Callithrix jacchus: one gene and its partners. The protein of the gene in region 2 purifies or fractionates together with the protein of the main gene of each other region. This does not show direct contact. Links are inferred from orthologs where the notes say so. Each region holds a gene or a part of one and is shown on either strand. Other genes may lie near its edges.

The links. Proteins that work in one complex are often made in the same cells at the same time.
Region 1: the proteins of ATP1A1 (region 2) and VDAC1 fractionate together in Homo sapiens (co-fractionation; 3 studies listed by BioGRID, with this or other methods). This does not show direct contact. The link is inferred for Callithrix jacchus from reciprocal best matches to the Homo sapiens genes ATP1A1 and VDAC1.
Region 3: the proteins of ATP1A1 (region 2) and HADHB fractionate together in Homo sapiens (co-fractionation; 3 studies listed by BioGRID, with this or other methods). This does not show direct contact. The link is inferred for Callithrix jacchus from reciprocal best matches to the Homo sapiens genes ATP1A1 and HADHB.

The regions. Positions count from the first base shown.
Region 1 is NC_133503.1:74,318,809-74,322,923, forward strand, and holds the start of VDAC1 (non-selective voltage-gated ion channel VDAC1), read left to right. Parts: upstream 1-1,315; 5' UTR 1,316-1,410; coding exon 1,411-1,626; intron 1,627-4,115. UniProt on the Homo sapiens protein: Non-selective voltage-gated ion channel that mediates the transport of anions and cations through the mitochondrion outer membrane and plasma membrane.
Region 2 is NC_133508.1:154,398,555-154,402,054, reverse strand, and holds part of ATP1A1 (sodium/potassium-transporting ATPase subunit alpha-1), read right to left. Parts: intron 3,172-3,500; coding exon 2,979-3,171; intron 1,616-2,978; coding exon 1,440-1,615; exon of another isoform or gene 892-1,439; intron 756-891; exon of another isoform or gene 248-755; coding exon 111-247; intron 1-110. UniProt on the Homo sapiens protein: This is the catalytic component of the active enzyme, which catalyzes the hydrolysis of ATP coupled with the exchange of sodium and potassium ions across the plasma membrane.
Region 3 is NC_133515.1:89,122,605-89,126,580, reverse strand, and holds the start of HADHB (trifunctional enzyme subunit beta, mitochondrial), read right to left. Parts: upstream 2,801-3,976; 5' UTR 2,399-2,800; coding exon of another isoform or gene 2,332-2,398; 5' UTR 2,154-2,331; intron 2,032-2,153; exon of another isoform or gene 1,665-2,031; intron 1-1,664. Other genes in the region: HADHA (trifunctional enzyme subunit alpha, mitochondrial), read left to right, coding at 2,332-2,398. UniProt on the Homo sapiens protein: Mitochondrial trifunctional enzyme catalyzes the last three of the four reactions of the mitochondrial beta-oxidation pathway.

The DNA.
Region 1 (4,115 bases), on a different chromosome or scaffold from region 2:
TTGAGGTTCCTGGAGCCCCGCCTTGTCCGCCGGCCTCCCTGAGGTCCTGTCCTCCTTCTGCCCACCAGTCTCTATATGGAGGATAGGGACCACCAGGCTGGGAAGCCCGGAGTCCCCAGGCAACTCCTGGGCCTGGGAAGGTCATAGAATTCATCCTATACTAACCATGATCTTGAAGAGGGCTCTTCCTCACATTCCCAGTCACTCCTCCCCCAGCCCCTACATACGGCCTCGGCACCCTGTCCGCATCCCATTCCCACTCTGTATCAGCTGCCTTCTTCCTCAGCAACCCATCATAGCCACTTTCACATGTAATCTGCCGCCTGTTTCCCGCAGCCAGTCCTGATTGCCTCCTCCGCAGCCCCAGTTGCCTACTGCTTTAGCTGGTGTGGCAGCGGGCTGTGAGGAGTGTCCTGATTCTGTAACCCGGCACCTCCTCCACAGGGCCCTAGACACCTCAAGCCCTCGAGGACTTTTGTAGATCAAAGGCGAAGGGCGTGCAGAATCTTCATCCATCTAACAAATTAATTCTTGAAACCTGCTTCGAATGGGCCTCGCGCGGAACACAGGAGACACTCAGTGTTAAACGAGACCGCTCGCTTAGGCCCTAGCAGGGAGAAGGTGACGGTTCACTCAACACACACTAACTGGGTCCCGCAGGAGGCCAGGCCCCGGCTGGTCGCCAGTTCACCCGGGCGCCCTCGGCCGGCCTGATCTCTTCGCAAAACCCAATTCATGTTTTATTGTTTTGCTTTTTTACCTTTCAAATGCACGGAAATTGGCTGCTAGTAGCTTTACTACAGGAGAAGTCGCTAATCTGCAGTGCAAACTCTGCGCACAGGGGTTTTCTCCGCAATTGTCTAGTGCTGAGCAGGCGGGTCTGAAGCGCCAGACACAATGTATCCGCAGCCCGGGAACCACAGTCGCCGCCGCTACTCTGTATCTGCGCCACCCCGGGCGCCCAGAGTCCGCGCGGGGCCTGGGACTGCTCTCGGGGGATAGGGCCCACGCAGGCTTTGATGGGGGGCCGGGGGCCACTTCGTTCACCAAGGCGAGGCTAGGGTCCAGCGCGGGCCAGTACATCAACTCTCGTGGGATCTAGCAGCACCAAGGCCGAGCAGGAGACCCAGGAGCCGGGTGCGTCTTCCATTAGCGCAGGGACCTCAGGGTCAACGCTCAGCGAATCGGAAGGCCTCCTTCTCCTTCCAGAGCGCTGCCACTTGGGCCGAGCTTTCCAGCAAGGACCCGCGTGCCCCCGCGCACGCACACACGGTGCACACGTCAGGCCTGCGCCTCCCCGTGTCCAAGCGCACGCAGATCCTCCCGCGCGCCCGCACACTCCTGCAGGCTCCCGTGTCCGCTGCGGGGGCCGCGGGGCCGGGAAGGGTAAGAGTGCGGCTCGGGAGCGGGATGGGGACCTGGGCCCGGCCTGGTAGCTTTCCCGGGAGGGGCTTGGGGGCGGAGCGCGCCGGACAGGGCGCGCGAGAGGGAAGGCGGGTCCGCGCCGCCGCCGTCCGCACCGCCCCGCCCTTGGCCCCGCTGCTCGCTCCGCTCGGCTCCGCTCCCTGCCTCCGCGCCGCAGCCCCCGCCGTAGCCGCCGCCGAGCCCGCCGCCACCGCCTCTGAGGTAGGCGCAGCGGAAAAGGGCCCCGGCTCCCTAGCACCTCGGATGGCGGGCCGGGCGCCTGGGGAGCTGAGAGGGAGGCGCTGAGGGAGGGGCGGGCGAGGGCCAGGGCGAGGGGCCCCGGGAGCCCGGCCCAAGAGAGGGAGCGGGAGCGGTCGGCGCGGGCCTAGCTGGACAGCGGAGGGCTGAGAAGGACGCGCAGGGGGGCGCCGAGCGGGCCCGGGCTGGGGAGCGCGCGGCCGAGGGTCCGGAGACGCCTGCAGCTGGCTGCGAGAGGCGGCCCGGGCTTGCAGGCGGAAGGGCAGGGGCGGCCGCGTGGAGGCACGGCGGGCTGCGCGTCTAGGTGACCTTCCCCACCAGCGCCCACGCTCGCCAGGCTAGGCCAGGCCCCGGGGCCGGTGCGGGCCACGCTGCCGCCGTGGTAGTGAGCTCACGTGACAACCGTGGCCCCGCGCCCCCAGGCCCACACGCCTTAGCTGGCCCACGCCCGCAGCAGCTGGCGCCCGGGACCGCCCGCCTGTGCCAGAGCCTTCTGGGACGGAACGCGCTGGCCGAGAGTCGACTTAGGCCGTAGAGGCCGGAGCTCAGGCCTGGGCTGGAGGTTTGGCCTCAAAAAAGGAGGCCTCACGGGGAAGGATGTGGCCTTCTTGGCCTTAGGAGTGAGTTCTGGTTCAGTCGTTCATTCATTCGCCAAATGCGGCGGGGCATTCGGGAAACTGATTCGGAGCCTGACGTTGGAATAGAGGCCCGCAGTCCTGATGATTTGTCCAAGGTCACACAACTGGGAGGACCCCAAACCCAAGTTTTCTCGTCTTTAGAATGGGAGCAGTTGTATCTCTCCTTCGTTGAGTTTTGGGGAAGAATAAAATGAATTAACATGAAACCTTTCGAGCAGTGCTGGTATGGAGAAGGGCTAAGTACAAACGCTGACACCTTTGGGGCTTTTTGGATGAATCTAGCCCATCTCCCACAGATCATTTTGCTACACATGCATTGTGGAAAGGGTTCAATAAATGTAGCTCCTGTTTTTAAGCATTCTTACACTATTATTAACAGGCATTTGTATACCAGGTATTGAGTAACTTTAGGATAATTTATGAAAAACGTTGTAAGTCTACAAACGGACATTTTCAAGCTCGAGCAGTAAGTTTGCATGTGCAGACCTTGAATGTAGGAGCAGACCCTGGTTTGAAGGTTCGTTCCGCCTGTGGCCCCTGTCCCCTTGACTAGCCTTCCCCCTCTCCTGGGGAGGTAGGTTAAAGGGCGCCTCCATTTCCTAAATTCCTCTTCTGTTGACAAGGCCAGGGCAGACTGCCGAGGGCCTGCCTTCATTCTGCCCACGCCAGCTCTGGACCAACTGAGCTCCTAAGGGTCAGACTGAGACCCTGTGCTACTTTGTCTTCAGTGACTGGGCTGGTGCTACCTGGCACAGAGTAGGTGCTTGAGAAGGGTCTGGGGCGGGGATAAATGCACTCGTGTGTCAGAATCTACCCACCCTTATTGACAGAGTTTTACTATTCCAGTAGCAGGAACATCGTAGGTGCTCATTAGGTATATGTGGAATTATTGAAGGGGCATATAAAGGGCTGCAGGCCCAGACCATAGTCCTTTGATCCTGGCTTTTATTTTTTTATTTTTTATTTTTGGAGACAGGGTCTTGCTCTGTTGCTGGAGTACAGTGGCACCATATCAGCTCATGGCAGCTTCTGCCTCCTGGGCTCAAGCAATCCTCCCACCTCAGCCTCCCAGAGTATCTGGGATCCCAGGCACATACCACTAGGCCTGGTTAATTTTTGTATTTTTAGTAGAGATGGGGTTCTGTCATGTTGGCCAGGCTGATCACAAACTCCTGGCCTCAAGCAATCCACCTGCCTCAGCCTCCCAAAGTGCTGGCACTACAGGTGTGAGCCACCATGACCAGCCCTGGACATCCTTTTGAGGGACACAGACATCTCACTTGCAGAAAACAACCTCACCTAGCAGAGAGTCACAAATATTTAAAGAATTGTAACAATCTTGAAATAAGTGATTTAAATACATCGTCTTCCTTTGAGGGAAAGTTGTTGAACTGGTGTTTCTGGGCTTGCAGGGAGGGTGAATGGGGTTCTGCAGAAGGTGTTGGGGCTGTTACTCCTTCCCTCATGGTGGGTGGATCCATCATGGCTTGTGCTGGAGTTGTCCTGAGTATGGTGCCTGCCTCAGGCTAGTGGGGACTGCTCACTGTTGATTAGTTTTATTTCTGCTATTCTAGAGTCAGGCTGTAGGCAGGGGTTATTTGTAGCACAGAAAGCGGGACCATACAGGGATGAGGTGCCTATAGACCCCTGCCCCTGCTGAACACTAGGTGGATGTGGACAGTGAACTCCATGCTGGGGTAGTGAAGGGCATCCACTCTCCACCTTTACCAGGAAGATGCTCCGGAAGCACCGAAGTCCACTTTGCCCTTGCTGGAATTTCTCCTGGTGCAGTGTCTTCGGTGGTAGTGACTGGGA
Region 2 (3,500 bases):
CCTACTCAGAGCAAGCCTAGACGCAAACCACTATAGAACCATGCCGAAGATTTTAAATGATCACTATTTGCTCGTTCACAGCAGACTGTGATTTGAGCTTCCTGCCTTACCTGGGGTTCACCTGGTTGACTGGGATGTTGAGGCGGGCAGCAATGTCTTCTACAGTCTCATTGCCTTCTGAGATGATGCCCACACCTTTGGCAATAGCTTTAGCTGTGATGGGATGGTCTCCTGTGACCATGATGACCTATAATAAACAAGACAATGTGTCAAATGCAACTGTCAAGTAAATTACCTTAAAAAAAGTCTTCCACGTCAGTAGGCAAGAGTAAATACTAAGGATGATTCAGCTTAGACCATCAAAAGGAAAGGAATGCAAACATAAAACTAATGAACATCGATTAGCCAAAAATATAAACATATGTATGCACAGAAAGGAAACACAAAGCCTCAGGTTTTATCTTGGTACACAATCACTGGCATACATAGTATCTATTCTTCCTTCTACAGTCACGTAAAAATACTCAAAAATTACTTAAACCAGCAAAGAATGCTGCTGGCTAGCGTTCCCAATTGGCCCAATTTGGGGAAAAGCAACATGTGGCAAGAACTCGAAACTGTTATTTTTTTGATGCCGTGATTATACTTAGAATATACTTTAAAAAGCAGCAGTCGGAGTGGTGAGGGAGTAACTTCTACAAAGCTTTTCAGGGCAGTATTAATCCTGAGAGGAGGCCGGGCATGGTGGCTCATGCCTGTAATCCCAGCACTTTGGGAGGCTGAGGCGGGTAGATCGCTTGAGTCCAGGAGTTTGAGACCCGCCTAGCCATCATGGTGAAACCCCATCTCTACTAAAAAATACAAAAATTCGCTGGGCCTGGTGGCTCATGCCTGTAATCCCAGCTACTCAGGAGGCTGGAGCAGGAGAAGTGCTTGAACCCAGGAGGTGGAGGTTGCGGTGAGCTGAGATCGCGCTACTACACTCCAGCCTGGGCAACAAAGCGAGACTCTGTCTCAAAAAGAAAAAAAAAAAAATCCTGAGAGTAAAAAACAGAAACATCAAATACCCAGAACAGGATACTAGTACACTTGAGTAACATTGAGCTACTTAAACACAGAAAACATGCCGTTCACTGCATAAGATACGTTAATTTAGAATAATGCAAGTATTTTAAAACTTGAGTCTTTTGCTCTTTTTACTTTGCTTACATTTCTTTTCTAAACAAGGGATTTCTGAACATGTTAAATTCCTAGTGCGTTTACACCACCATATTTTAATACTGTTCGGTCTTTTCTGACTGCAAGTAAAGCTTTGGAGACGAGACATTACTGCCCCAGGTGAGATAAACAGCCGGCCACCGGGACCTCGAAGGGCAACCCTGACTGAGGAGGGTGTCCCAAGGCACTGAGAGATGAGGCCACGGAGGCGCCGGCACCACCTTGATCCCAGCGCTCCGACATTTGCCCACGGCATCGGGAACGGCCGCCCGCGGAGGGTCGATCATGGAGATGAGCCCCACAAAGCACAGATTGTCGACAGGGAAATTCACATCGTCGGTGTCAAACTGGAACCCTTCAGGAAACTGCTCATCTGGCAGGAAGAGGTGGCAGAAACCTGCGAAGAGGACAGGAGCCTTTGAAAATTTTAATACTACAGGCAGTGATGGCAGGCAGCCTATTCAGCCCATCTACCTTTCACTGGAATGTTTAGTTTGGAAGATTTTTCAAGTCTATTTTTGTAACAAGAGTGAGGGCTTTAACATTTATGAATGATACAGAGTCACTGAAAGAAAAAAGAAATTCGGAAGACAGAATCCATCACACCAAGCCTCAAAGGAACTGTAAATTGTTTCACGTGGAGAAGACTAAATTGATGATACTAATTTAGAGCACCGGGATGTTAAGGGTTCTAGACTTGCCCACTGGTAACAACAGTAAATTATCTGGATTTGGCAAATCATGGGATTAACTGTCTCAGCTACCTTCTCTGGAAAAATCAAGGCCATACCTCTGCTCTCTTGGTCATGTAACTGAAGTATATTACCGAGCACCGATATGGGACATCATTCTAGCTACTTCTGAGGATAAGTACAGGTCAGAGGCATTCTGCCCAAGGGCTTTATCATCTAGTATAGTCAATGCCAGAATCAAGATAATATAAGGCATTCCTTTCAGTGTTGTATGAAGGTTACAATGATCTTTAAAATAGAATGATATGCCACGTGGACTCGAGAGAGACTGCTTCCACTGTGGGGTGGTGGAGGCAGGGCAGTGCAAAGTACTTCAGAGAAGACAGAGAGAAGACAGCAGTCCTCCGGTTGCATAGACACATACTAAAGATACCATGAGTTAGGTTTACCCAAGTCAAGAACAATAGGAAGAATCACGATACAAAATATTATAAATGCCAGTTCCCCAAATACATTAGACAACGTAAAGTGAACTTCTTCGCCTCAGTAGCCATCAGGGTAGAAAAAATAGGCAGCCATTCAGACTAAACGTTTACCGTCAGTCTGGTTTCTGAGCCGCGTGCTTAGGTGCTGAAGTGAATTCAGCACTTTCCAAGGCAGCCAGGAACTAATTATGTCTAACTTAGACACACTAATTAACTTTAATTTACTTAAGCTTATTGTTCATGTTCATAGCAACAAAGGTTAGATAAGATCTTCCACCATTTTTTTTGTTTTTAAAAAACAAACAAACAGAAGTGACTAGCGTGAGACCAAACGTCTAGGTACAAGTCAGAAGTGAACCGTCAGGACAATTCCCACAGCCCAACACACTGAACATTTCTCCAGCACTTACTGTTTTCAAAATAATAGGGGGCAAATAAACAAGTAGGAGGATTGCCCCAGAAAGATGTACAGGAAGGTCGACAAGTCATAGAGGTTACATGGGATCACTCGTTAACTGTCTACCAAACTAGGTTACTTGACAGAAACATGCCCAGGTGCTTTGTTACCAGGTTATCTGCGTACCTAAGACTCGTTCTCCGAGGCCCCCCAGCTCCAAGTAGGCATTCTGAAAGGCATCTTTCAGCTCCTCATCAAGGGGCTGCTCCTTGCCATGGAGGAGGATAGAGCTGCAACGGTCTAGGATCCTTTCTGGGGCACCCTTCATCACCAACAGGTGTCGGGGCTCCGAGGTGTTGGGGTTCTTATGAATGGACAACTGTGAAGGATTGTTGAGATGTAAACATTGGATGGTTGGATGTGTGGCAATCCACAGTGGAAAACGAAGCTTCACTTACTATTTAATAATTGCTCTAAAAGACCCAAGATCCCTTATTTCTGAACTCTGAAGTATCTTATACTCGTAACATACTTTGAATGCTACAGAAAAAATAAAGAGCACTATGATGTATTCATAAATTCCTGACACTTGTTCACATTAAAAAAAAAACACACACACACAAAATTTCAGGACACAGGGATTGGGGCACACTCTCGCACACATACCTCCAGGCCTCTCTCCACAGGCCCCAAACCACAAGTATTCCA
Region 3 (3,976 bases), on a different chromosome or scaffold from region 2:
ACATAGGACAGAAACACACACACACACACACACACACACACACACACCACTTAAATCAGTGCCTGATACAGTCAGGAGTATACCTGTGTTTGCTATTACAAATGGGGTGGTGATACCAACATACTGTTTCCCTCTAGATAAGCCATTGGACTAAAGAGCTTGGGGACCAAAGCAACATCATAATATTTTTGGCCTGATGGAATTTAGTTTTGTGGAGAGAGAACAGGGAGGAAAAAAAAAAACTGGAGCCAAATGAGTGATCTAAATCAGAGATAGGCAAGCTATAACATATGGCACTCTAGCTAAAAATATTTTCACTTTCTTTTTTTTTTTTTTTAGTTTTTCACATTTTTAGAGTTGTAAGGCCAGGTATGGTGTGGCTTACGTGTGTAATCCCAGCACTTTGGGAGGCAGAAGTGGCTGGATCACCTGAGGTCAGGAGTTTGAGACCAGTCTGACCAACATGGTGAAACCCATCTCTACTAAAAACACAAAAAATTAGCTCAGTGTGGTGGCATGCGCTTGTAATCCCAGCTACTTGGGAGGCTGAGGCAGGAGATTCGCTTGAACCCAGGAGGCAGAGGTTGCAGTGGGCCAAGATGGCGCCATTGCACTCCCAGCCTGGGCAACAAGAGTGAAACTCCGTCTCAAAAAAAAAAAGTTGTAAAGAAAGCAAAAGAAACAATACATAACAGAACTATTTACTGTCTAGACCTTTAACAACAAAAAAATGACCACTTCCGACCTAAATAGTAAGTGTTTACAAGCAGTTAGGTGTTAAAGAAGAAAGCATTAGATGGGCAGGAGGCAGGGTTTGAACTATAAAAACCTTGTAAGATTATCAAGAATTCGTTTTGCAATTTATTCAGAAGTGGTCAGATCATCCAGTTTCTGCTTAAAGTGCTCACAATGATTAACACTCACTATGTAACTTGAGCTTTAAACAGAAACCTCTCTACTTGTTTCTATACTCCTCATTTCAGTCTTAACTTCCCTGCCCCTTGTTTCCTGTCTTGCAGAGTAGTAGTGAGACTCAGACTTATGCCTGAATTCTAGCTCTGTGACAGACCCGAAAATGTATATAATCGGAGCTCCCCAAACTTCATCTAGAAAATGCAAACGATAATAATGTGGGGAAAGTGAAGATTAAACAAAAAGGTACGAAGGTGCCCAGAGCGCTCCATGTGACTTCCTTTTGAAACGAATCACTCTATTCAGGACTCCAGCCCATCTTTCCAGCACAAAAACAGCTATCATGCAACGAAGAGCTCTTCACTAGGAGTTAGTAGACTTAGGCTCCAGTCTTATTTCTACCACTGGTAAAATCACTCCCTCTGATTTTTAGGCTTCGTACAGTGGCCATGCTTCGTACAGTTTCTTCACAGCTAAAGTGAGTGGTGGTGTGAACGACCAGATAATCATCCAGACCGGAAACTCCCCCAGAGCAGTGCATTACCAGGATTACCGAGGGAGAGAGGATTGTCTCCGCTCCTCCCACACTCAAGCTCCAAAAGGTCACCTAACCTTGTCTCATTCTTTATAGCAGAAATAGTGCAAACCCGCGGCGCCGTCCACATCTCTAGAGCAGCCAACTTGGCTACAGGCGAAGCAGGTGAAACACACACTCTAACAAAGACCAGGGTTAAATTAAGGCCGACACACACCCAAACACACGCAGACTTCGTTAACTCGCGATGATAAATTAGGACGCAGGTGACACCACTCTCCCGAGCTTCAGCTGCAACGCTAGTCCCAGTCACTGTCCTAACTGCAGCTGGCACTGCCGACCTTGTCGAGGAGCTTCCTTCCGCTCCCTCAAGTCCGACTCTCCCAGGGAGGAGAGGCGGCCCGGGGCACCCGCGACACTTGCGGGGAAGGAAGTGGGCTCTCGCCTGTGGGAAAGCCGTGGCGGAGGGCTGAGCCCTCGCCATCTCACCTTACCTGACGTCCGCGCGACCTCCTACCCTGAGCAAGGTTCAGATCCAAGTGCCTAGGCTCTGCGGGACCAAAGGGCGGGTACTGCCCGGAAAGGACCCCTCACCCCGCCGGCGGGCACGGCTGGCCCCGCGGGCTGCCCTCCGGCCGCCTGAATGGAAAACCTGGCACTCCGCCCCCTCCTCTCCAGGGCCCCGTCCTCCCCTGGAGAAAGCGACCTTTCCGCCCCGTTGGCCAGAAGCGAGGGCAGGGCGAAGGGGCCAGCGATCACTCGGCATCTGGGTTTTAGTCAGGCAGCACGGTGGACGCCTGGACGCCCCGGCTACCCGAGGAAAAGTCCCCCGCTCTTCCGAACCCGCTGGAAGCGCTCTCCACAGCTGTCCTCTTCAGCTCAACATGGTGGCCTGCCGGGCGATTGGCATCCTCGGCCGTTTCTCTGCCTTCAGGATCCTCCGCTCCCGAGGTAAGGCCTGGTCTAGGGCATCCCAGACCTCCGAGCAGAACTCCTGAGGGGACTGGGGTGGTCCCGGAGCCGCGTCTCCCTTTCGCTGCCGCCGGCCCCCGCCCGGGGACCCAGCCCTCAGTGGGGAATACTGCCCTGGATCCCCGTTTCCTGTGTCCTTGTGGAGGGACTGTCACTTCCCCTCTCACTACTCCTGCGGCGATTTCAGGCTCCCTAACTCCCAAACTTTCTGAGTCTGGTGCCACTCGGTCTGTCACCTTTCCGCGGATCTCCTGCGTCGCACTTCTGGGCTCACGCCCCTCTTATTTTCTTGATCCGAAGTTCCAGGAGAATCGGGATCCATTCTGTCGCATCTTTGTGGCTTCACAGCACCTTACCCTCAACAAGAGCGATCGTAAAATCTTCTTGGGTGGAATTAGCCTTGCAGATCACTGCCCCTCCCTGGCTCGGGTCCCTCAAAACCATATTTGTGCTTACTACCACATTCAAGTCGGGAGCTCAGCTCTTGCAGTTCCAGTAATCCCAGTGTGAACGTATAGTATTTTTGAATTACAACGGGAGATTCTGCAGCTTACTGGAAGACACACTTTAAAAATACGCTGATACCTCTATCTTAAGGAATAAAATGTTAGATCGTTTTGAGAGCGATTTATCATCTTGTTTCTGATGATTCCCAGACAGCTTGTATTAGCTAGTGTTTTTCCTTTTCAAACTGGCAGTGAAAGGATTAAAGTGGGTGGTTGCAGGAAACCTGGCATTTTCCTTCCATCCCAAATCTATAAAGTCAAATGTGAACAACGTTTTTGTGCTTATTAGGTTACTTAATTATAAATTTTAACTTTTAATTTGTAATATGAATTACCTCTCTCTCCTCCTCCAGAACCGCTGGAGTAGTATGCTTTTTATAGACACGTAGTTGAAATCCCTTTACTGCAAGGGCATTAGTTGAATGATTGAATATTCTTCTGCTGTCTTTTTTCAACCGCTGTTTTTAGTCTCCACAAAACTGTCGCATGTATTTGCCAGTTATAACGTAAGCACGTTTTAGAACATTGAAATGCTGTCAGGATTGACGAAAGGGATTTTTAAAAAAAAACGAATCACCCGTTGTCTTACCTACTGTTGAGTTATGTTCCCTTACAGGTTTGGTGTTTTTTCCCCCCTATTTTCACAACACTTTTGAAAAGTCACATGTATAATTTTTATGTTACCCCAGCATTGGTTTGAAAGTATTTCTTATGGCTTGGCAGTGGTAGCCAGGGCATGTGGTTTCTAGTCACTAACTAGCTGTGTGACTTTGGACAAATGCCTTAAACTAAATGGGCTTTATTTTCCTCATCTGCAAAATGAATGATTGAGACGATCTTTTGCATGAGAAGTAGCATGACAGAACCATTAAAAACGTTGTTTGGAGTCTGACTTCTGGGTTTGGACCTGGCTCTGTCTTTTACCCTCTGGTGACCTTGGGCAATTAATTTCTGTGTTTGTTTTCTCTTTGTAAAATGGGGAATAATACCACCACCTTGTGAGATGGAAGGAGTTATTTTACATATAAAGCAGTTTTTCATGGAGTAAGCA